Drosophila melanogaster: one gene and its partners. The protein of the gene in region 1 interacts with the protein of each later gene in a pairwise test. Each region holds a gene or a part of one and is shown on either strand. Other genes may lie near its edges.

The links. The genes of interacting proteins can lie anywhere in the genome.
Region 2: the proteins of Galk (region 1) and CG4835 interact in a two-hybrid assay, tested with the Drosophila melanogaster proteins (one large-scale study listed by BioGRID).
Region 3: the proteins of Galk (region 1) and CG11581 interact in a two-hybrid assay, tested with the Drosophila melanogaster proteins (one large-scale study listed by BioGRID).

The regions. Positions count from the first base shown.
Region 1 is NT_037436.4:8,980,242-8,989,456, forward strand, and holds Galk (galactokinase), read right to left. Parts: upstream 5,851-9,215; 5' UTR 5,736-5,850; intron 5,576-5,735; exon of another isoform or gene 5,178-5,575; intron 5,068-5,177; exon of another isoform or gene 4,991-5,067; 5' UTR 4,985-4,990; coding exon 4,812-4,984; intron 4,746-4,811; coding exon 4,572-4,745; intron 4,427-4,571; coding exon 3,693-4,426; intron 3,496-3,692; coding exon 3,291-3,495; intron 3,233-3,290; coding exon 3,046-3,232; 3' UTR 2,863-3,045; coding exon of another isoform or gene 2,482-2,862; 3' UTR 1,971-2,481; downstream 1-1,970. Other genes in the region: CG13314 (uncharacterized protein), read left to right, coding at 2,482-2,862; CG5068 (uncharacterized protein), read left to right, coding at 6,644-6,717, 6,786-6,984, 7,044-7,153, 7,491-7,802, 7,858-8,082, 8,145-8,454; CG5280 (uncharacterized protein), read right to left, coding at 8,966-9,141, 9,208-9,215.
Region 2 is NT_037436.4:5,477,301-5,486,182, reverse strand, and holds CG4835 (uncharacterized protein), read right to left. Parts: upstream 6,394-8,882; 5' UTR 6,334-6,393; coding exon 6,327-6,333; intron 6,188-6,326; coding exon 2,520-6,187; downstream 1-2,519.
Region 3 is NC_004354.4:14,174,516-14,180,975, forward strand, and holds CG11581 (uncharacterized protein), read left to right. Parts: upstream 1-2,407; 5' UTR 2,408-2,431; coding exon 2,432-3,436; 3' UTR 3,437-3,941; downstream 3,942-6,460. Other genes in the region: CG1368 (uncharacterized protein), read left to right, coding at 312-314, 456-1,013.

The DNA of each region.
Region 1 (9,215 bases):
CACTGCGTGTGGGTCGAGGCAATGCGCATAAAAATTAAGCAAAGCACATAAGTATGTAATGAAAGGGGTTTACTTTTTGGATTAATCCACAGTACTGCACCTTAAAAAGAACAGTAGTCAAAATTAAGCTAGTCCTTAAGTCATTTAGATTTTGGATTTTAAAAATAAGACCTTTTTTTGAAACCATGATTATAAGAGATTGAGCACCAAACCCATCATAAATATGAATTCATAATTTCTACAAATATCCATCTAACACACAATCAGCAGTAGAGTTCCACCGAATTTTCGGTCACGTAGCTGAAGACAAAGCCTAATAAAGTTCAAAGACCAAGCTCATTAACTTTGGCCGCAGTCAACAATGCAGGGGCCAAGCAATTTGTTTATTTATTATATGCATCTACAAAGCCGCTAAATGGCCATTAATTAAATATCAAATCAGCCACGGCCAATAAACGAGAGACCACTCCCAGAGACGAGGCGAATTCGAAAACGAAAAATCCAAGCAGCCAAACAATGTAAATACCAATCCGCTGGCCAAGTTGGATACGCACCTGAGATCGGGAAAGTTCAAGGCTGCCATCCGGCAAGTGATTATGGCAATTTCAATCCAGTGCAGGCAACTCCGGGTAATGCTTCCGCCTATGGGCTGATCGGTTGAATAACCCCAGATTTATGTACGCCCGACACCCGTGGCAAATTAGGGTCAAACATGTGCAGCCACCACGGAGCTCGGCTCGAGTTTCAGACTCTACTGGCTCAGCATTAAATTCAGGGTCAATTGGCACTTTCAAAATCGCACAAAGCTCGGATTGAGTCGGACATGGATTCTGAGCAAACTTGTCAATCATTGTAATCGCACTACTACCTATACAGTGCACGAAATCGGGCATTAGTTGTGAAAATACATACATTTAATATGTGATTGGAAAATATACAAAATACTGTCAAAAATTTGTTATGTATACAATTTTAAATGGAATGATATTGTATTATATGAAAGTTATCCTTTTAAAAAGTTAAACATATAATATTTATTTCTGTGCTGCGATGAATAATCTTTGAATAATAATAAACCAATTGAGTTATCAATTGTTCAAACTATTGTTTTTGCGAGTATTTGTATATGGTGCACGTTGATATATATCTGTGCGACTTTTGCCATGCGTATAACGCTGCCGACTGGCAGTCCGACCTTTTTTGGGGGGCACTTTTATGGAGCATGAGAAACGGAGACAGATATCATTGCTTTTAATTGCCCAAGCTGAGCGCCTAGGCCTAGGTCAGTCTGTACCAGAATTGCAGTCCCCTCCGCTTCGCTCCACTCTACTCTACACTTCAATCCAATCCAATCCACTCCACTGCGACCATAATTAATTTAATAAAATGTAAAGCAGCAGCCTGGTCTGAAAAAAAAACTTGACTCATTCTCGGCGCTCAGAAGCGGCGCTTTGAGCGAGATTCGAAAATCGGTTGACTCACAGACTTGAGTTCAACTCGTTTTTGTGGCATTCAACGGCAAGCGAATAAAAGTTCGCCGTCTCGATATTCTATGATCAGTTTACAGTCTCAACTTCACCCAGGTGTTCCAGTTTCATTTGAAGTGCTTCTCTCGAGGATTAGCCGTTGAAATAAGTCCAGATCAAAGTGAGTGAGTGTCGTGTGTTTGTGCGAGTGGGTGCTTTTTGGAGAACCGAAATCCGATTCGGTTGTGTGGGATCGTAACCTTGACTTTGGCTGAATCAACGTATCAATTTGGACTTGGAATATGTAAATGCATTTAATGGCGCATAATAAAAATGCATGTACAGTGGCTGTGATCATTAAAAAGTAGAAAGGTTTAAAGAGTGTATAATCTAATAACGAATGTCACATTTTCAAGGATTATATCAGGGTTTCAGTTCGAAGTGAATATATCAAAGCCTAAAAAGGATGATCATGATTTAAATCAATTTCATTGCTAACGTATTCTTAATTAATACATTTGGTAAATGCATCTTCGATAATGTCATTATAACGTAAAATAAAAAATAATATTTTCACCAATCCTTATAGCAAATTACCCAATTGCAATTAAAATCTCAAAAGAGTTCTAGAGAGACCACTGTACTTATATCTCAAGCTACGATTGCTTTGTTGCGACCAAATTGGAGCACTCTACGCTTGACAAATAAAGCTCGCCATTTAGTTCGCGGCCAGTCCAATTCTTATCAATAAAAAAAAGCCAGTTCCAAGTTGCAAAAAAGTTCATGGATTAGCAACTGTAACAGTTTGAGCCAAGATCTCCGCGTTGCCCACTCCATTGGCCATATGCGATAATTGATTTTCCCGTACATAATTTATGACGCACGAAACTGACAGCCGACTTGTAGATTAAAAACTGCCACTGACCAGCGGCAATAAATCTGTCCGTATCGCTTTATTAGAACGTTGGACAATAATGCCAGCTCCTGCTCCTTTTCTCCCCTCCAGCAGCCAATCATGCCGACCGCCTGCCAAGTAACGCTGCTCGCTGGATGCCTGCTTCTGGCCATGAGTTCGGTTCGGGCCCAGTTCTTCTACCACCAGGCGCTGGGTCTGCCGGTTGCGCACGCTTACGAACCGGCCAATCCGTACCAGGGATATGCAACAGCCGATGCCCATCCCTCGGTGGTGCGAAATGCCCAGTGGGAGTCTGAGTTGCCGGCTGAGCTGTCGAAGAGTGCGCGGTTCTACAATGATCCCGTGATCGCTGCCAATCTGGCCAAGGAATCACTGCTCACGAAGAAGGAAATGGCAGTGGTACATCGTGAGGCGGAGAAAATACCGCGCGAACAGGTGTACAAGCTCTTCAAGAACGCCGGCTATCTGAGTAGCAGATAGAACTCACGATGCCAGATGAGTTCCGTTCCCCACGTGCCTTGTTGTATTTTAGCTTGTAAATTGTTAATATATTGTACATAGTACTCTACATATTAAATGTTTTTTCTATAAATGACCGTTTGATTATAGTGACTGATAGGATGATTTTGGTATAAAAGTTGGATTAAAATGCTACACAAGCGTTCACTGTATATACAACTCGGCTCCGTTTCCTGGTAGAGTGGCAAAGACCACTTCGCTAAAGTTGTTGGGCTGATGACGCTCCAGGAGATGTGTTGGCAATTGAGCATAGTAATCGCGCTTCAAAACCTTTATGTACTCATCAGCTGCTTCTATGGAATCGCACATGGCAACTATACAACCGCCCCAACTGAAAAAGAATAATGTTGATTAAATTCATAGAGTCACTAGGATATCGGTTTTCTTACCCAGCTCCAGTGACTCGGGCGCTAACGTTCTGCTGGTTCGATATGGCAATCAGGCGCTCTACATCAGGATGAGAGCATTCGTATAGCTCCCTTAAACTCTCGTGGGATTGCCGCATGAGCTCACCCAGCTGTTTTGCACCTTCCTTATTGGCTCCGCCGGCGAGTTCCTCACAAATTTTCCGGAATTTGGCCACGCGACCGGATTCTGTTAGGCGGAAACAATGTTATTAACTGATCTTGCAATTTAATATTATTTGCTAAGAGTTTAAATCTTTCGGACAACAAATGAATGTCAACGTATTATTAATTGACTGTAATTATTCATTTGGTGATCAATAAATTTAATGTACACGTAATGATTCAGATTAAATGTGAAATCCTGATTGTAAATGATTAACTTACCCTGAATAACATGCAGAGCACGTTGACGCAGCTTGAACTGCTCCATGTGCCGAGTGTTGGCGGATAGGAACTTGGTCTCCAGTTCCTGTTCGGTGACTCCCAACTCCTTGCAGATATCCGCTCGCGTGTAGTTGCTCTTCGTTAAGTTGTCCTTAATCAACTTCTCGAAAGTCTCATTATCCATTTGGCACGCCTCCTCTAGATCAATGAAGCGCACAATATCCTCCCAGTTGATCAAGCCCTTGCGCTTGGCCAGCCATCTAGTGGCCAATCGGCATTCCACCACTCGTTCATTGTAGTCCGACGAAGCAGCCTTGTTCTTTTGAGCCAGACTGTTGGCCACAACGAAGCACTTGCCCGCTGGCAAGGTCACCGGAGTGCCCTTGAGCTTGGGATGGAACTCGATGTGGTGGGCGCAGCCAACTCTGCCCAAATAGGCTATTGCCTGATCCATACCACCACTGTGCGTTCCAATGTACTGCTCACACATGGCCGAAATGGAAGCCAGCTCCCTGCGATCTAGTTTCTTGCCCTGGACGTGTGCGGTGGCCAACACAGCGGAGCTGACCATGGCACTCGAACTGGAGAGTCCTGCCGCCAAGGGCACATTACCGTCCACAGCAATGCGCATGCCAATGGGCTTCCACTGGCTGCCCAGACTCTCCTGTATTCCTTTGATGCCGCACAAGAAGTAGTTATACCAAGCGGGTCCACCACTCTTTGGAAGCTCGATTCTAAAATAGCAAAAAAATATTTGGACTTATCATTTCTAAATTCGTTTAGATACCGCCTTCAAGGTGACATTGTTATTATAACAAATTAAATGGAAAATTTTCTAGTGCTTAAGGTCGGTAATTATCATGTTTCTGATTCACCCACCTGAGCGTTTTGAGATCGGCATCGTAGCCCGTAAACTTCGCTTCCTCGAGATTTCTGAGTTGAAGCTGGCTATCACTAGGATTCTTGGCCACTGCAAGGAAAATGCTCTGGCTTACAGCCATGGGCAGCACCGAATAGCCGCAGTAGTCCACATGCTCGCCAATGATGTTGACCCTAGGAGAAGGAGGAGATATCATCGATAAGGGACTATAGATGTGCACCACGAGTGGAACTGCTCACCTTCCTGGCACTCGAACGATAAAGTCCGGATTCGCTCCGAATTGTTGTTTGAAAAATGCGGTCAATTGCTGCACGCGCCCGTAAACCTTGGATTCCGGCTGGAGCTTCTGTGGGGCCACGATTTCAATGCCGGCACCCAAATCCTGAGCAGTTCCGTTCCCGTTGGCAGTCATGTTCACCTGCAGGCGGGTGAAACTTTAATAATGCCCATTATTTTCGCAGTCGACGAACCGTAAACGTGTCGCAACTGGTTAATCTAAATTTATGGGCAAAAACAAATTTACATACGTAAACAAATAGCCGTGGCAAAGGGAAAAACAATTGCACCTGTGGTTGTGCAAAAATTAGCTTATCAACCCATCTCACCTTATCAATATGTCCAAATAGCTATTAGCACACAAAGTGATGTACTAACATTGCGGTTATCAGTTGGGGAAACGGCATCAAAGTCACTAAAACATTAGATTGACGCCAATTTGACCGCTTAATTGGGCAAAAAACAAGTACAAAAGTGCAATTTCTGCCGGTAAATGAAAAGGAAGGGTGTGCGGGAGCGAGAGGACTATAGCCAACAGCTGTTATTTAGGAGTTGCCAGGCTTGCAGAAGCATTAACCCTTGAAATGCGCAATGGATAAAGATTTTATTTTGAATATTTATCCGCGAAATTGATGTTTATGTCTAGTCCCAACTAATAGTAAATTATTTGGCAATAAAGTTCTTAGCTGGTAATTGTTTTTCAAAAGTACTACCGCTTAAACTTACTGCCGCATAATCTAAATAGACCATTAATGACAAACATGACATTTATCTTATCTCGAAACCATAAACTTAACCTGTATTGAGCTTACCTTTTGTTTACATACCAGAATAAACACAGATATAAAGGATTTTGTCAAGATTTTTACACTTTTGCCGATACATACCCAACAATGCCTTATCTTTCTCTGTTTGAGGTCAAATTAACTTGGTGCCGTCTTATCAGAGAGGAGTTCTAGTTTTCGGTGTGAGCACGTCGCGTTCCATCAAGCAACTGAGCAATCCGGCCCGTTCCGTTTCCGTTTTTGCTTAGTCCGGAATACTATGAACAATAAAGTGATACTTCCTTATCAGTAGCATTACTGAAATATAAATGCTCGGAGACCTTATAGAACACCAGTTTCCCAGCTAGCGATGTTGCACTGTGTGTATCAGTAGGAACTTGTTGAGAGCTTTGTTAGTTTATAACTAGCTGTCTTTACCGTTAAATGGGTCAAACATCTTCATAGCATATGAATTCTTTCTTGTTAGCATTCTAAAAAACTGGTTTCCAAATTTTGTCTGCTTTAAAAAGTGGTTTTGACATCCACTTTGCGAAAGGTTATTACCTTGCTTATTATTTTGCCATTAATGTGAAGTATTTACAAAGCTGATAAGGTACAAGTGTTTCGGGGAGCTCATCAATTTTTTCGTAGATAAACTTTTAAAATACTTAATTGATTAAAATGTACAAACATTAAAATATACAACTGTTGTTGTTTCAGTATGGTACGGATTTTCGTCTTTGATTGCAAAAGCCTAAAATATCCGTTTTGGAATTTGAAATGTTGACTGTTGCGGTTAGGCGTTGCCAGACAAGGGCATTGCCAAGTGCAGCTCTTGAACCAGCGCTGCCAGCTGGCGTCAGTTACGGTTTTCTCGATTACGGTCACACTGCAATACTTCTTCGTTGAATTGGAACTATTTTTTTGTTTTCGAAAACGGATAATTGCGAGCAACGACTGTGTGAATAACCACTTGCACCTGCACCGTAGGAGCACCACCTGTTGACCCCACAGCGAAGACAATCGGATCAATGTCGAGTTTACAGCGCACGATGTTGAAGGGCAAGCTGCCACCCACAATTCCTGGCGGGCGCATTGGCAGAGCGTAAGTGCAGGGTATTCTGCGACTGGAGTGGGGAGTACGCAATCTCTACCCAATTTGGCTAATTACAGGGACTCGTTCAAGAAGTCGCGCATTCGCGACTACAAGCCGGGCATGTGGAACGAATTCTTTGCGGAGAAGGAGGACGTCACGGTGGATGAGCAACGCACCTTCCGCATCTATCGCACCAAGCAACCGGAGAAGCCGGGTCCAGTTCTCCTTCTGCTCCACGGCGGTGGCTACTCTGCCCTCACCTGGGCGCACTTTTGTGTGAGTGAATGCGATATATTCTGTTAAATAGTCTTAACATGTACATATATCCATTTAAGTCTGAGGTGACCAGCATGATCCACTGCCAGTGCCTGTGCATCGATATGCGAGGTCATGGGGACAGCAAGGTGGACGACGAGGACGATCTCTCCGCTGATACGTTGGCTAAGTGAGTTGAATCCAAAAAAATATTGTTCTCAAAATATGTTTTAGAGATGGTTATGCAAATTTTTCTACTGCTTACATTAAAAACCAATATTTTTAAGATTTTGTCGAGTAAAACTTCTCGCATTAACTCTTAGCTTTATGAACGATTAGGCTAAACTTGCATAATCTCTTTATTTATAAAAATAGCGCACTGCACTTAAAGTAGGTCGATCTATTTGAACGATCACTCATTTGTAAATATTATTTAGTTTTTTATAGTTACTTTATTCACGGTTGAAGCTAAAAACCATAATAATCTAATCTATAATCTATAATAATGTTTAAAATATTCTAAACAGGGACATCGGTGACTTAATCCTGAAGCTCTATCCTGAAGAAGTGCCGCAGCTTTTTGTGGTTGGCCACTCGATGGGCGGCGCCATCGCCGTCCACTTTGCCCACATGGCTCTGGTGCCCAATTTGATTGGAATAACCGTCATCGATGTTGTGGAGGGCACAGCCATGGAGGCACTAGCCAGCATGCAGAGCTTTCTGCGCTCCCGTCCAAAGTATTTCCAGAGTATTCCGAATGCTATCGAGTGGTGCATCCGAAGCGGCCAAGTGCGCAATGTGGACAGCGCCAAAGTGTCCATGCCGGGACAGATAATAAAGTGAGTAGGATTGTCGTAAACGACAGAAAAGTAATAATAAATCAATCCCACGCAGTTGTACAACGAACAAACTGGCAACGAATGATCTGCCATTACCAGATGATGTATTGGAGGAGGCCCACCACAACAGTATGTTTCCCAATCCGTTTAGCATTTCGGAGGATGAAGAATCGTCACCGCCGGGCGATGACGCCGCCGATGGCTCCTCAGAAAGTGCCGCAGCTGGCGCGGATTTCAAGAAGCCCAACACGACCAAATCGACAACCGAAGCGGCCAAAAAGTACGTAGTCCAATTTATTTTATTTTAGTTAAAACACAAATTATTCATTGATTGCTTCTCAGTTACACCTGGCGCATTGATCTGTCCAAGTCGGAGAAGTACTGGGTGGGCTGGTTTTCGGGGCTGAGCGATAAGTTCCTTAACTTGCGCCTGCCCAAGCAACTACTCCTCGCCAGCATCGATGGACTGGACCGCACCCTGACTGTTGGCCAGATGCAGGGTCGCTTCCAGATGCAGGTCTTGGCCCGCTGCGGTCACGCCGTGCACGAGGACCGTCCACACGAGGTGGCTGAGGTGATTAGCGGCTACTTGATCCGGAATCGGTTTGCAGAAGCAGCCAGCGAATTTCGTTGCCACATGCCGTCGTGCTAAACACAACCACCCCCTGAATCCGAGGTTGAGCACAAACTGAGGTCACAAAAGTCTATTTTTGAATGGAGGTGCATTACTCTTTGAACTTACAGATGCGTGCATATATATATATATATACAAAATGTAGTGCGTAGGTCCAGATATATACAGCCGTATATTCTATATACACATAAACTAATAATCCAGTAATTTATTCGGTACTTTTAATTAAACCACTTGAATTTTCAACATTGTACTTTATACTCATTTTGCCAAAAATCTAAGGTCTAAAGTGCTTGCGTTTGGGCTTCTTGCATTGTTATAATGAGTGTGTATTAAATATGTGCCAGATCAAATGAAAATTTAACGAAATCCAAATTATACGAATGCGAATAAGTTGAATAAAGCTATTTATTAATCGAGTGTTACCATAAATTCCCATTAAATTCAAATGAATCTTGGAATTTATTTATTTGGTTTACTCGTCGTCTCAATCATGAAATCATGAAACTTTAAAAACAGGATAACACATTTAGTCCACGAAACGGAAGCCGCCATTGGACTTCATCTTCATCTTGGACTCCAGCGCCTGAATGCGACGCAGACGTTCGGCAATCTGATCTCGAATCTCTGGACGATACTTCTTACCCTGGCCCATGGACTCCATTTCCGTCAACCACTCAGCACGCTCGTTGATTTGGTCCAAAACTGTAGGAGCATGCCAACTCAATGTATAATTCCGCTTTATTCCGCTTAAGAAATATTCCAACTTACGCTCGTTT
Region 2 (8,882 bases), 3.5 Mb from region 1:
GGAATTGGGTTACAGGTGAACTTATCCAAAAGTCGAAGAATTAGGAAATTAGTTTTCCCTGGCTTGGAAATTAGTTCGAACTGGGCTTAAGAAACTTTTAGATTAAGTTAGCTGCTTATTAGATTAGTTTATTTTTATGGAAACCAACCTACAAATTATATTACTTATGGTACTGAATGACAAACATATAATGATGTTATTATTATCATTTAAAATTATTTGAACCCAAAAAAGGTATATCTCTCCATATGATTTGCGTTTAAAACATTTAGTTAATTTAAATACTACCTGAAATGAAAACCTTTTAACTTTAAACAAATGCTTTCAGTTCACTGAACTAAAAGTTAAGAGCATTTTCCCCTTCCACCTTAAAAAAGAACTCAGTCTGCTTTGCTATAGTTTAGTTGCATTTGCCCCTAACTGGCTATAACATTTGATTATGTTCCCATAAATACCAGTAAACCACTTTTCCGGCTTTTCCATACCCATTTATTTTGCATAAGCTTTTTATGAAATGTTACTAAAATGTAAATATTTCAAAGTTACCAATTTTCGCAATGAAATTTTGCCATTTAATACAGCAAAAAAACAAGGCAAAAAAAAACATTGAAAGGCCTGAACTTTGGCTGTCTGTCTAACTGCTGGGGCATCCAGCACATGGTTTAAATTCTCGCGGGAAACATAAAATACATTTTACATAAATGGATTGGAGCTGCACATTAATATGCGCCAGCAAAAGTTTTATAAACTAAACTCATGCATGAAAATGGGGCAAGAAGGGGAATTCCGAGTTTCTGCAATGGCAATTTGATATACATGTGCATATGCATGTGCATGTGTCGAGTGCTTCGAAAATGTTTTCGCTGCGATTTGTGTCTCCTTCAACTGCATCGCATTGAGATTTTGATAATTGTTAGTTATGTCTGGATATCGTTACAATTTGAGAGTTTTGTGAAAGTTTCCTTCTATTCCCCCATTAAGTTGCCTTCCCTGGCAATTAGCTGGGGAATTCTTACCTGTAATTAGTTTTAAGTGTTGTTTATGCCCCCAAAAACTTTCACTATTAAATTCTAACTCTACTGCTTTCTTGGCACACATTATGCATACACTAAATGGTACATTTATGGGTTTTTGAAAAGGATTGGCCTGTTGCCCAGTATAGGTTATATTGCCATCGCGGAATATATGTTATTATAAGGAGTTGAACTAAAATAATTAATACACTAAGTATTCAAATATTTCTTATTAAGAGAAGAAACTAAACAATTATGAAATTTAGTTCTTCCCCTTCGAAAGTTAGTCCAACTTCTTGGGTGTTGCCTGTTCAACACTTTTGGGCAGCTCTTTCATTTGGCAGTGATTCAACTAAATCTGCCAAGGCAAATCTAGGTAAAATTGTTTTTTTATTACCCAACTTGGCATCGAGATTCAGTTTGAGGCGACACCCAGGCAATCGATATTTAATTTATAAGCATTTAATGATAAAATCCCAATTTAAAATCATTTAATCGGCCCGGCTGTAAGGCAAAGTCTTATCTTCAATTAAGTGAAATTCTTGTGACTTGTTGCTCAATTTTGGGGCTCCTCCACGATTATCCCTCTAGACACAAGCACAAATCCTTGTTTATCCTGGGTGGCTATCAAAGCGTTACAAATCACTCGAAGGAGCGCCTTCGCGCGTGTCTATCGATTCAAGTGCGACAAATGGAACGCATTAAGTTAACATTATTGCCAAACAATTTGCTCGAATTGTGTTCATTTTGTGTCGTTACTGTCATTGATGCTCACATACATAACTTGCTTTGGTTTCCTTTCCCTTTCTTCGATTTCCACAACAACAACCGCAGTAGCAACAACAAAACTGAACAACTTATCCTTGTGCTTGTTATATTTACCCTCAATTGTATATGTCCTGCCTGCCACCTCACACCCTAAGGATAATTCCTTGGCAATTGTGTTTTTATGTGGCCAACCCCAAATCTGATTAGACGAGCTTCCGAGGGTTTCAGCTTTGGGCCAAGAACGGCAGTATCAGGCTACGATAAATGGCTGAAACTTGTAACTGAGCAGGATATCAGACGTGGCATTGTCAAGGGGAAACTGCTTTTAGCCTGTTGCTAAAAATACTGTCGCGCGTTTGCGTCCCCTTGAGGGTCTTCGTTTGCAATCCTTTCGACAGGAGGTTCTGCAATTCCAATCGGCTTGTTACCTGTCCGGGGAATTGACTGTGTTAAGTGGTAAATTACTTTTTTTTTCTTGGTTCCGTTTTTTTGCGACATATTACGGGAAAAGGGTTTGCATGTAATTGATACTAAAACTGGAGCAAAGTATATGTCTAAAAAGTGAAACACTTAAAAAAGGACTTAGAAAGCCCTAGAAGTGTAATGTGTGAGGAATATGTTAAGCGATTCCCAGCTATTGAGCATTTGTGCATTTACCCAATTGATTTTTTGGGGTAGCAAAAAGAACAGAAATGGAAAAGATTATTGCTGTGATTTATGCTTTATTAATATATTTTTTTAAAATTCAATAAAAAGACACCTTTCATTGGGAACAGAGGTGCATTGAAGAAGATTATCATCGAAAATCGTTCCCTCATCGCAATCCACGGCATATGGAATGGGATAGTCACAGACGACATAGCGACCGCAATCATTGGGATACGGAAGCAGAGTTCCAAGAGCTTGGCCACAGCATATATTGGGGGTGTACGGATCTAGAGTTGTTGGTGTAGAAACTGTGGTTGTCGATTCAGTTGTTGTTGTTACTGTTGTCGATTCGGTGGTTGTTGTCTTTGGAGTTGTTGAAACGGTTGTTGGCTCGGTTGTCGTTGGGGTTGTTGAAATTGTCGTTGACTCGGTTGTCGTTGGGGTTGTTGAAACTGTCGTTGACTCTGTAGTAGTAGTCTTTGGAGTTGTTGAAATTGTCGTTGATTCCGTGGTAGTTGTTTGGGGAGTGGTTGTAGCTGTAGTTGATTCTGTGGTTGTTGTTGGGATTGTGGTTGACTCGGTAGTAGTGGTCTTTGGAGTTGTTGGCTCGGTTGTCGTTGGAGTTGTTGAAATTATCGTTGATTCTGTGGTAGTTGTTTTGGAAGTTGTCGATTCTGTTGTAGTTGTTTGGGGAGTGGTTGAATCTGTGGTTGTTGTTGAGATTGTGGTTGACTCGGTAGTAGTAGTCTTTGGAGTAGTTGACATTTCTGTAGTGGTAGCCTCGGGTGTTGTTGAAACTGTTGTTACCGGTGTAGACGAAGCTTCTGTACTTAAAGTTGTAAGCCCTGGTGTGGTTAACTTAGTGCTACAACCAGCTAGTTCGGGATCCATGCAGGTCAATTCCGTGGGACTAAACTCCAAACCATCCGGACAATCGTAACCAACTGGTATTGGATATTGGCACTTTATATACTTGCTACAGTTTCTCGGGTAGGGTACCAAGGAGTCGTCTGTCTTGCCTTCACAAATTCCATCTGCCGGCTTTTCAGTTGTAGAAGCTTCCGGGTTAGTTGTTCCTGGTTCCATTGTAGTAGATGATGGTGGTGTTGAAATTGTTGAAGGTGATTCAGAAGTATCAGTAGATAATACTGTAGATGATTCTGTAGTTTCTGTTGATTGTCCTGTAGATGATTCTGTTGTTGATTCCGTTGTTGATTCTGTTGTTGATTCTGTTGTTGATTCTGTAGATGGTTCTGTTGTTGATTCTGTAGACGATTCTGTAGAAGATCCCGTTGATGGTTCGGAAGGCGTTGTTGAGCCTTCCCCGTCTCTTGGTGTAGTCGTCGACTCCGATGGCTTAGCAGTGGTTGTAATCGAACAATTGGCGAGTGAAGCATCAACACATTTTCCAAGCTCCACACTAAATTCATCTCCTTTTTCGCATTCAAAGGCAACCGCAATGGGTCTATCGCACTGAATATACTTCGAACAATCGTTGGGATAAGCGACAAGGGCCCCATCCTCGACGTCGTCACAAGGTCCTTTCTGCGGTGGTGGTCTCGTAACCGCTGTGGTCGTTGTCGGCTCACTGGTAGTTGATGTGGTTGAAGTGTAGTCCCATCGACAGGCATCTGAAGGAACATCCGCTCCACACTTTTCAGTAATTGGATCGTAGTACTCCCCACAATTACAGACGTCCATCATGTAAATGTAATCATCCACACAGCGTATGAACCATTGACAATTGTCCGGATATGGGAATGTATCCCGACTGCTATTTGTACACATGGTCGGTTCCGGAGGAGGTCTTGTATAGCCTGGTTCTAGAGTCGTTGTGCTTTGATCACCCTCACAATCACTTTCATCCCAATCATCAATGCACTTCTCTAACTTGGAACTGAAGAATGTACCATCGGGACAGAAGAACGCTATGGGAATTGGTGAAACGCACACAATGTACTTGGTGCAGTTGTTGGGATAAGCAATATTCTCGTTCTCATTTCGACCACCGCAAATACCAGTTTTTGGGGCCACAGTTGTGGTTGTCCTTTCGGTGGTTGTAGCTGTGGACTTGGGTGTGGTATTTCTTTCGGTTGTTGTGGTCTCTGTCGTTGTTGTTGTTGTGGTGGTTGTGACTTGTGATGGTTTGCACGCATCGGGTGCCACATCAGGTCCACACTGACCTGTGCTGGGATCAAAATAACTGCCGTAAATGCAGGGTGCCAGAGTCCATTGTCCGCCGCCCAAGCAAAGATAATACTTGCTGCAATCATCCGGATAAGAAAACGAAGCTCCCAACTCCTGACCATCGCAAAGCTGATCTGGTCCCAAAGTTGTTGCCACTGTGGTGGTAGTCGTGGTAGGAGTGGTTTTTTCAGTAGTAGTAGTTGGTATGGTGGTTGGAATTGGTGTCGTGGTGCGATCTCCAAGGCACACAACATCATCTGGCTCATCGCATACAAGCAAGTCGGGATTGAAGAGCGTATTAGGAGGACAATGACCCATTTGCACTTGATTGTCTTTACATATTAAGTACTCCGAACAATTGCCTATGTAGGCAAAAATAGTGCCGTCCTTTTCATCTTTACAATCATTTGGATCGACATCAGAGGGAAGTCCATCTGTAGTGGTTACAATCTCTTCTGTGGTGCTAGAATGTATTTCCGTTGTAGACCCATCAGAAGGCAGTGTTGTAGGCGTTGAAGGAGTTGTAGTGATTGAAGGCGTCGTCGTGACTGAAGGCGTCGTTGGTTTGTTGGTTGTTCCCGGAGTTGTGGGGAATGGCAGGGGGTCACACCGCACCGAATCGGGTGTATCGCAGATGTGCAGCCAATTATTAAAGAGTTTATCCGGCTGGCAGTAATCCAAATCTGTGCAACCATTTTTGCAGGCCAAGTACCCACTGCAATTGTAAGGATACTCATAGAAACCATTTCCCTTCGGCACACAATAATCCTCTTCAATTCCCTCCGGCGTTGGACCGCAAACCACATCCTCCTCAGTTGTTGAAGTGGGCGGCATTTCTGTTGTGGTTGTAGGAAGGGGCAGCTCCTCGCAATCTGCCATATCGGGAGTATCGCAAATGCCAAGGTACTTATTGAATACCTTGTCTTCAATACAGTAATTTAGCACGGGCCAGCCGTAAGTGCAGTTTATATAGGCCTGGCAGTCATATGGATAATAATGTACCGAGCCATCCTCCTTGTTGCGACAGTAGTCATCTGAAATTCCCGGTGGTGCCGGTGGTGGATCCCAACTGGATGTTGGGAGGTAACTTGAGGGGGTAGAGGACGTTATCTCTGTACTGGTTCCGGTGGTACTTTCTGTCGTTATCTTTGCCGTACTTGATGGTGGTTCTGTGGGTTCTGGCGTTATCTTTTGAGTACTGGATGTTGGTTCTGGCGTAAATCGAGTAGTTCCATCCGTAGGTTCTGGCGTTTCAATCGAGTAGTAGATACATTCTACAGCTTGGGGATAATTACATTGCTGGGTCTTATTATCCCACCAGAGATTTGCGGGACACAACTTCACCGTGGGATAGAGACAGTCGCAAACTAGGAACAAACTACAGTTATCCGGATACGGTACCAAAGCACCAAAGTCCTTGCCCTCGCACATCACCTGGTTTTCGTATCGCTGTTCATTGTTGCAAGTTTCGTGACGAGGTTCGATCTTTGGCAGGGCCAAAACATTTAGCTGCCAGCTCCAGAATACGGCGATAACCACCAGAAGCCATGGCAAAGGCTTGAAAATATTATCTGGAAAAGGAAAGAATACAATAATAATACAAAAAAAAAAACATACAGAGACTATTACTAGTATTTAAGTTTAAATATTTATGTATAATTGACATAATAATTTATTGCATTGTACTTGCATAGAATATCTTAGATTTACCTTGCATAACAACTCCCCTTTCTAAATTGTACTATATATTTTTAATAGGTCTTTTCGCCTGCGAGTTTAACTCCACACTGACTTGTTAACTAGGCCAACTGTCTTGTCTATAGCAAAAGCTATTTCCTGATACAACGTCGGTAGCTTATATTAATGACATTTTGATTAGATTTAATTAGAAATTCTTTGAAATTTATAGAATATCGTTTTCATTCTAGTGATTGTGATTTGTGATTTTATGTTATCGTTAACTTCTGAATTATTTTTCTTAAGTGCCATTTCAACACGAGCAACACAAGATAGTTTCCGTAATATTCTAATCTAGTGATAAGCCAATTACGTATTGAAGTCTTATCGTGGCGTCATAGATTGTTTTGTTTATAAAGGTTAATTTTAAGCAAAATATAAGGCAGGAAGCTTCTCTGGGGTTTTCTTTAAGTATTTCCCCTACTGGTGTTTTTTTACACACGTATTGCTTGTGAAATGAGTGTCATTTTATATTCTTTCATTTCGAAGGTAAATCATTTTATCCTGTTCGCATGTGTTTTGTGTGCGCCTTTTGTGACTCTTATTGCTGCTGTTATTACACTTATTGTTCTTGTTCCAGTTCACGGTGTTGTTGGGTCTTTAATGAGCCCACGTGACCTTTCCGACAGCGAAGTTCGAGTCACAATTTATGATCAGCACTCGACGCGTAAATTACACGAATAAAAATGCGAACATAAACATAAATGAAGCTAGAAGTTTAATGCCCGGCAAGCCATTAAAATTAAGCGACAAAACATGAGTGGCACACAAAATACGGCATTAAGTAGAATTAGTTGAAAATGTATAAACAGATTGAAGAAATTTGTATCTCTAGTTTAAAGTGGATTTGCAAGCTGCAGTTGCATAGAAAGCTAGCCATGGTATTTCAATTTGTGCTGCAAATTACTTAAAAGCATACAAATCTATTTGTCTGAAGGATGTTTTTATGCTGTCTGGCTGACCTTTTTTCCATCCCTTCTTCAGTCGCCTTTGGGTTGACAAACAGTCACGAAGTTGGAAAATATAAAGTGCAGCCTGAAAGGACAAATCCATTAATATAAAAATAAAGTTGCATAAAAGAAAGTGCGGATTATTTAAGTACAGATTTTTTGAGATTAAAATAATAAATGGTTTTGGGTAAATTAAAGTCAGGAGTATGAATGAAACAATACTTATAGGTACTCATGATTACTCTTTTATAAAAAGATATATGAAATTTATTCTATACTTAGCATATTTTTCTTTGGAATTAGCTCAACAAATCAAATATAATCAAATGTTCCCACCTCTTTGGCCAAACTTGCTGCTGGACAATTTTTCAGCTTGATCTGTTGGCTGCTGTCAAGCGTTTGATCTGCAACAGATTGAACTATCAATTATGCCCCTGCATGCGACGTGACCAGCAACTGACATGTGCCACATGCCACACCCCATCCAAAATCTGGGAAACAAGAAGCAGGACCATCAGATGGCAATGTTAAAACGGACGTTTAGTTACAGCTGAGCACCTGCTCGCCTTTCTGTCCGCCTGGCTGCTCCTCAAAGGAATGGCGGCGGAGAAGCGGGTGAAAGCGAGGGAAAACGTGTCCTCCACGCAGCAAAGCTGCTCCTTGCCCCGTTCCACAACTCCTCCCCTTGTTTGTGTTGCATGAAATTGACCCGGTGCGTGTGTCGCCAGCGACTGGAAAGGATTCTCGGCGATCTGATGGGGGGTTTGTATATGGCGCAATGCATCCTGGGGCCTAGATTCATCACCGAGTCTGGCGGCATTCGTGTGTTTTTCCAGCTTCCAGAGATTTCACGTAAGCCCCTGTGAAACTCCTAAAAAACGTCCAAAACGTTTTTTAAGCCATATAAAAAATGTTTAATTACTAGAGAAAAAGAAACCATTATAAATTTGTTAAATATGCCCTTTGTAAGTCAGAAATAGTTGTCTGTAACCAATTTATTTTTGTAGCATTCAAAGCTTCGCAAAGTTTAAGTGATTGTTTCAAAATATCTGAAAATCCATTGGCTAAAATACCCAAGAAATTGGTACAAATGAACTGTTTGATTACCACAACCGAGTAAAAATCGAGTAAATGAAATACCGCAAAAGTGCAATCATGCAATGAAAACCCAAAATCATTGAGTACAAACCAAGGACCAAAGTTCCGGAGTAAACTAAAAAAACACACAAACAAAGTGCAGAGAATATGCATGTGTATATTCTTTTTTTTACCAATGCCGAAGGTCCTTTGGCTTTGTTACCGCTTTTTTGCCCCCTTTTCCCTTCCTTTTTTTCTGTTAATTAAAATCCAATGATTCCCAGAACCTTCTTTGGACTTCTTTTAATTTCTCTTATGTTTGTTTTGCTGAATTTACATTTTCTTTCTACTTGTTTCTTATTTTTTACTTCTGTTTTTTTTTCTTGTTGTTTTTGTATGCTGAGAGATTTTAATTGCACACATTTTTGCAACGTTTGTTGATAAGAATTTTTCGTGTACCTTTGTAGTTGTAGGCAACTACAATCAGCAAAATTAAAAATAT
Region 3 (6,460 bases), on another chromosome or scaffold:
ATGTGGCTATGTCCCCTCAGCCCCTCAGCACCAGTCAGCCGTTTGTTTGTCTTGATTTCATGGTGACGTCTTTTGCGGCGGCTTCTTCTTGGTCCGCTGGCCGCTTAAGCCTGCTCTTCTTCTTGCCCGGCGTCTGCCGTTAGTGCCGGTGTGCCACCGCTGCAGTTGGAACGGGCTCTCCAAAACCGGGGCTTTTCTTCGAAGACGGCCGGCAGCTATAAATTGACTGGCGGCTGGTAGGGACCGGCATCAGTCGCAGCCTCTAGCTCATCCAGCACAGTCGCTTGAAAACGCAGAAACCTCAACTCAAGATGGTCAGTGAAGGATTACAAGTTCAGCTTGAAACAAGGATACATCGATTTAACAATATTATTTGACAAAATTTTTTTTTTTTTTGCGGTGCTTAAAAAATTTGCTGTGTTTGTAATGTGTGAAGTGTGTTGTCCTACTTGCAGAAATTCCTTATTGCCTTCGCCCTGTTCGCCTGCGTGGCCGCCGATGTTAGCCACCTGAGCAACGAGTACCTGCCCCCCGTCCAGAGCTCGTACGCCGCTCCCTCGGTGAGCTACTCCGCACCAGCCGTGCAGCAGACCTACGCCGCTCCAGCCATCCAGCAGTCGTATGTCGCCCCCAGCAACGAGTACCTGCCTCCTGTGCAGACCTACTCCGCACCGGCCGTCCAGAGGACCTACTCCGCACCAGCTGTCCAGAGGACCTACTCCGCCCCCTCTGTTAGCTACTCGGCACCCTCTGTGAGCTACTCGGCTCCATCGGTCAGCTACTCCGCTCCTGCTGTCCAGCAGTCGTACTCCGCTCCATCGGTCAGCTACTCCGCCCCTGCTGTCCAGCAGTCGTACTCCGCTCCATCGGTCAGCTACTCCGCCCCTGCTGTCCAGCAGTCGTACTCCGCTCCTGCCGTCAGCTACTCCGCCCCATCGGTGAGCTACTCTGCACCCTCCGTGGATGTGGGCACCCAGTACGCCTCCAACGGTGGCTACGTCTACAGGAAGTAGGGATCTTCAACGAAGAGGCCTGCAACTGAACACGAAACAGTGTCCATAACTACATACTGCCCAAATTAACCATATATTTTTTTTTTTTGTTTTGTAAACTTTTGTTTACAACGAAATAAACCGAAACATCAATAATCCAAATAAATACTTTTGTTTTTAAAATGGGTTTCAGAGTTATAAAAACAAGCGTCTAATATTAATATTAATAAAATTTTTAACAAGTGTATCCCTATTCACTTTATATCAAAATTCCGGACCAGGATACCAAAATAGCGTACTAAAAACCACGCGCGACTTGAGTGCGGTTTGGTTGCGGTTTAGGTGCGGTTTTGTTGCGGTTTTGATGCGGTTTGAGTGCGGTTCGTTTTCAAAATCGAACGTCAAAAGCAAGTGCTTGTTGGTGCTTAATACTTCAGAGTAGACAAAAGGTGGCACTTTATAAGCCAATAAAAATATAATAAAGTATACGAATGATATGTCCATACAAAGTAAAGAAGATTTATTGGCATTAGTCTATAATGGTAATTTTCAAAATTAAAAAGCTTAATTCTTCGACTAGTTAACACTAAAACCTGTAGGACAAGAACATAAACATTTAACATACATCAATGTTTTAACTAAGTATTAGCGTTAAAAAATATAATATAAAGCTTTAATTAAGTTGGGCTTTTTATAAACAGCTTGCAGCTTTGATTAAACTTGGAAGCTGCGACTATTTTAAGCATTTTCAAAGAGCTTTTAGTTTAAATATAGCATGAAACTTTATGGTTTTCCTAGTTTTAACACTAAGCTTTTGAGTATTTCAAAACTATGACTTGCAGATACATTTTCTGAGAGTGCTTGGCATTTCTGAAAAATTATTTACTCAAGACTTTTTGAAATCATTCAAAACCATTATTTAGTATATTACAGTAAATAAAACGAACCTCCTCGACGTTTTTCCTGTTTTTAATTAACACCCTTTTGCTTTCAGGTAGTAATTTTTAAAATTTAATATTCATCATAAAGCTGAGCAAGAACTTGAATCTAAATCAAATAAAATGTTACCCTTTCATTGTTCTTTCTTTTCGTTTATTGAATCTTTTTCATTATCGCCTCTTTTCTTTGTGCGATGCTGAATTTAACATTCGATTTCGGCGTTAGTTTATTTATGTAAAATCCGGCCGCTAAATTAAATTTTATAGTTCAGTTTTGGCACCTCCCCTCGCACCTTCGATCACCTTTGGATTGGCGATTATTTATGGAACCTTTGTGATGATGCAAAGCAATTTCCGTTCGCCGAATGCGAAAGTGAAATGAGCCGGCCGCGAATTTATGTAATATGTTGATATGCCGTCTTATATATGGCGGATTTGGGGCCCGTGGCCGCATAGCCACCGTCGCCGTGCAAGTTCCCAGAGATCAAACCGGAGCTCGAGATGATGCAGCCATGGGCCGTTGTGGTCCTACTTCTGCCCCTGATCAACGGAGATGTGAGTCACCTGCCCAGGGAATATATACCGCCCAGTGCGGAACTGGAGCCAACCACACGGTCTGCTGCTGATGGCCAGGAGGTGCAGAAGGATCCATCTGGATTCTATCCATCGACTGGACTGCCACTGCCGCCGGGCTATGCCATTCCCACGGGCAGCAACGTTTTGCCACAGCCTGTCCAGCCGCCAAACTTCCCTCTGCCCATCTATCCACCATTCTACGGCTTCGGCGGAGGTCCTGTCGAGCAGGGAGGAGGACATGGTATTGGGCCAGTGCCTTCGGCCTATCCCAACGGAGGTGCATTCCCGGCGGGTCCTACCAATGGAGGCGCATTCGCAGGGGGTCCTACGAATGCGGCCTTCCAACTGCCACCAGGTGGTCCTTTCGGTCCGCAAGCTGGTAATTTTGCCCAGCCAGGTGGTTTCCCGCAGGCAGGTGGGTTTCCCCCACAAGGAGCTGGCTTCCAGCCACAAGGCATCCCTGGCAATGGATTCCCAACGCAAGGAGCTCCCTTCTCACCACAGCAGGGAGTGTTCCCATCACAAGGAGGTGCCTTCGGGCCACAGGGAATACCGGGCAATGGTTTCCTAGGAGGTAACTTCCCGCCACAGGGAGGGCCCTTCCCAGGATCCGCATATCCACCGGAGTTCTTGACAAACCAGGGACTTCCCCTCACAAATCCCCAGGGTCCCTTCCAAGGACCCAGTCCAGCAGGATTCAATGTGCCCGCAGGATTCGGCGGACCTGTGCCCGGCCAGAATCCCTACCAACAATTTGGACCCGGTTTCGGAGGACCCGCTCCGCCGGGCTACTCCGATGAGCCGGCGAAGGAGCAACCAAAGGACAGTGAGAGGACAGTAGTGGCACCACCATCGGCCGACGATCCCAAGAGTGTGGCGGATACGGTTTACGCATCCAATGGCGGCTATGTCTACAAGAGGGCCAAGTAATGCGATGGCTTTCGAAGCCCCAAATTGGGGAGTTCATCAAACATGTTCGCCATAAATTATGATCCATATTTTGTTTTTTTTTTTTCTTGTATTTTTTGTGCCTTTGTTTTTATTCATTTATTTGATCTGCTGGCCATAAAGATGCGGACAGACAAAACGATTGTCTCTATGCTAATCGAAATCTTTGCCAAAACTGACTGATAACCATAAACGAGACAATCTATCGTCGTGATTGATACATATATATAGACAGACCTATGTTTTATGCATACCCTGGCCAGACACATATGTGTTCATAAACTATGTTGTCTTCAAAAGTCAATACAAGGCGATTAAAGGCTGAAATAAAAAACACGATTAGTGGTTTGGGTGTGGACTAAAACCGAAGTCCTACGATAATTATGCACATTCACCATCAAGGTTTATTGAACTCTGATATGTTTCTGGATGGAATTAAGTTTAAACAAAATGGTACAAGAATTAAAAAAAAAAACATCCACAACTTAAAAGCAGTAATAGTTTATCATGCAACAACAATGGATCATTAAAAATGGATTTATGTTTATCATTTCATATTCTAAAATAAATCCAACTTAAAAACGAATAAATTCAAATGATTGTCTTACATGTATAAATTTTGAATTGACGTCACAGAAAAGAGGTAGAGAAAGAAGCTGCCCACCTAAAGGGCAAACTTAATCGATTTAAGTTAATTTCAGCGAAATTCAAAGAACCTTCTGAGTTAATTTTAGCTTCGCGATATTTTTTTTTTTTTTTTTAATTTGCCAAACTAGTTTCTGACGTCAAAGAGTTTCCCCTAAAGAACATACATACATTTATGATAATGAACTTCTTTTCGTGAACTTAAGATGGTTATCGAAAAGGGGATTTTTCCATAGTTTAAAACCAGACTTATTCAACTCCCATGTTTGGTTTCAAAAGTCTATAGACTTCAACTAGCCCGAATTGATTTTTTATTCATCTTTTTTTTTTTTTTTTGATGTCTCCACTGAATTATTTATATGTGGCTTTTGATTGTGTTGTTGTTATACAGTAAATACATTAAAAGTCTTTATAACAACTTTTTTATGGCTTTGCCAAATGGTAAAAAATGTCTTTTTGTCTTTTGGGAGAGCTTTTGTCACCTTTTATGACACGCTTCATCAACTTACATTAGTTGGTTCATATACTTACATCAAGTGGTTTATCAACTTACATCAGTTGGGCGGTTTAGTGCTGCTATTTACTTCTGGTTGCTTAACATTCATTTGTATTTAGTGTTTTACTACACTTTCAAGTAAAATAACCTTATAAAGTAAAACAATATATAAAATAATGAACTAATTTTAAAGTATTTTATTAAAGCAGTATTGCTCTTCAGGCAATATATCACTTTTTAACAAACTTTTTTGCAATTTGCTTACTTATTTAGATATAGATTGTAACTAGAACATGTATATTATATCTTATACATCTGAGTTTTTCTATCTTTCACTCAAGCTCAAGCCCTTCCGTTTGTCGTATATGCAAATCGAAAGTGGCTAATCCAAATCAATTCAGCAGCTTTGTTGCAATTTTCGCTAAAGTCGAACTCAGCTGAATATTCATCACGATCGTGAGCTATAGCTTTTGGATATATAGAGGCTGTTCGCACAGCAATTAGTCATAATTAAGGCAGACTGTGCCCGCGGTTGTCAGAGGCCCTCAACTTGACATTTTCCTTTGTGGACTCGAACCTTAACTTGTTTTCAATTTGTCACATTTCTGCGCGTTTTTGTTCACTTTTTTGTGCGGGGCGCGTGTTTGGGGCGCCAGGTGCAAAAGAAGAAGAAAATGATGATGACAATGATGAAGATGAAGAAGAAGTTCGCATTCAAATGAATGGCCTCCGAAGATCCGCATAGTATGGTCTTTGTATTATCTTGTAAGCCCATGACATGCCCATCATAATAATCACCGCGACACACGCCTACGAGATGCATATGAAATCGTATCGAATCCATATCGAGATCCCCTGATTACCAATAATATATGGCCCATTGAAAATGTCCGAAGGTTGGACACGTTTCTGCCACCGAGTGAGATCTCAGTAGATATGCTATATTGTTGGGAAATCGGCCTGGTAGGCCCGGGCCCTTAAACGATTAACATTTTATCATAAATTCAAAACCTAAAGCTAAGACAATGGACGAAAGTCGCAGGAAAAAATCGCAGATGCTTTTGTGCATAGAATGTTGGTGCCACTGAACAAATAAATTATATTTCATTATGCCAATGTTGCAAATAAATATTTATAATTTTCCAAAAAAAAAAAATGTTATCAATAAATATCATTTTAGAATGCAATTTTCAGTTTGGTTTCCTCACGTATTTAAACCTAATGTAATAATCTGGTAAGGCAATGTAACTTGCATTACCTGCTGAAAATATAAGTGCATTGCACTTAAGTCAAAGTGGCCAAGGTGTCAATTGACCAAATGGACACAATCCAAGCCAACAAGCGATTGATAAATATTTGAGCTTTGTTTTTGACATAGATGCACCGAAAGAAAATGAGGTATGGTACACAAAAATCAAGCAAATCAACCATATACGAAAATGATATGCCACAAGTTCAAAAAGAACGTATTAATCAAAAATATGGTTTATTCTAAAGCAATATTGCAACAAAACGTTATTCTTTAACAACGAATATTTTCTAATAATTTCTATTAGGATTTATATAATTTCTGTTGCAAATTTCTATAGTTCCACAGTGAACAAAATTAAAAATGCACCATAAAAAAAAAACTTGGATGTGTAACCATATATTTGGCCATTGTGAACTGTTTGTTATCACACGGAGGCTTTGGCGAGTGTTCGCTGTGAGTCGTGCTTTTGGCCATTTAATAATCCGCACCGAAATGAGATGTGTTTTGCATGATTTCATTGTTGGCCATCTGCATTAGCATTCCCCCCGCTCCATGGAGTTGTTTTAACATCTGGCAGATGGCATATGCCTCATGGTATGGAGGCATATCGCAC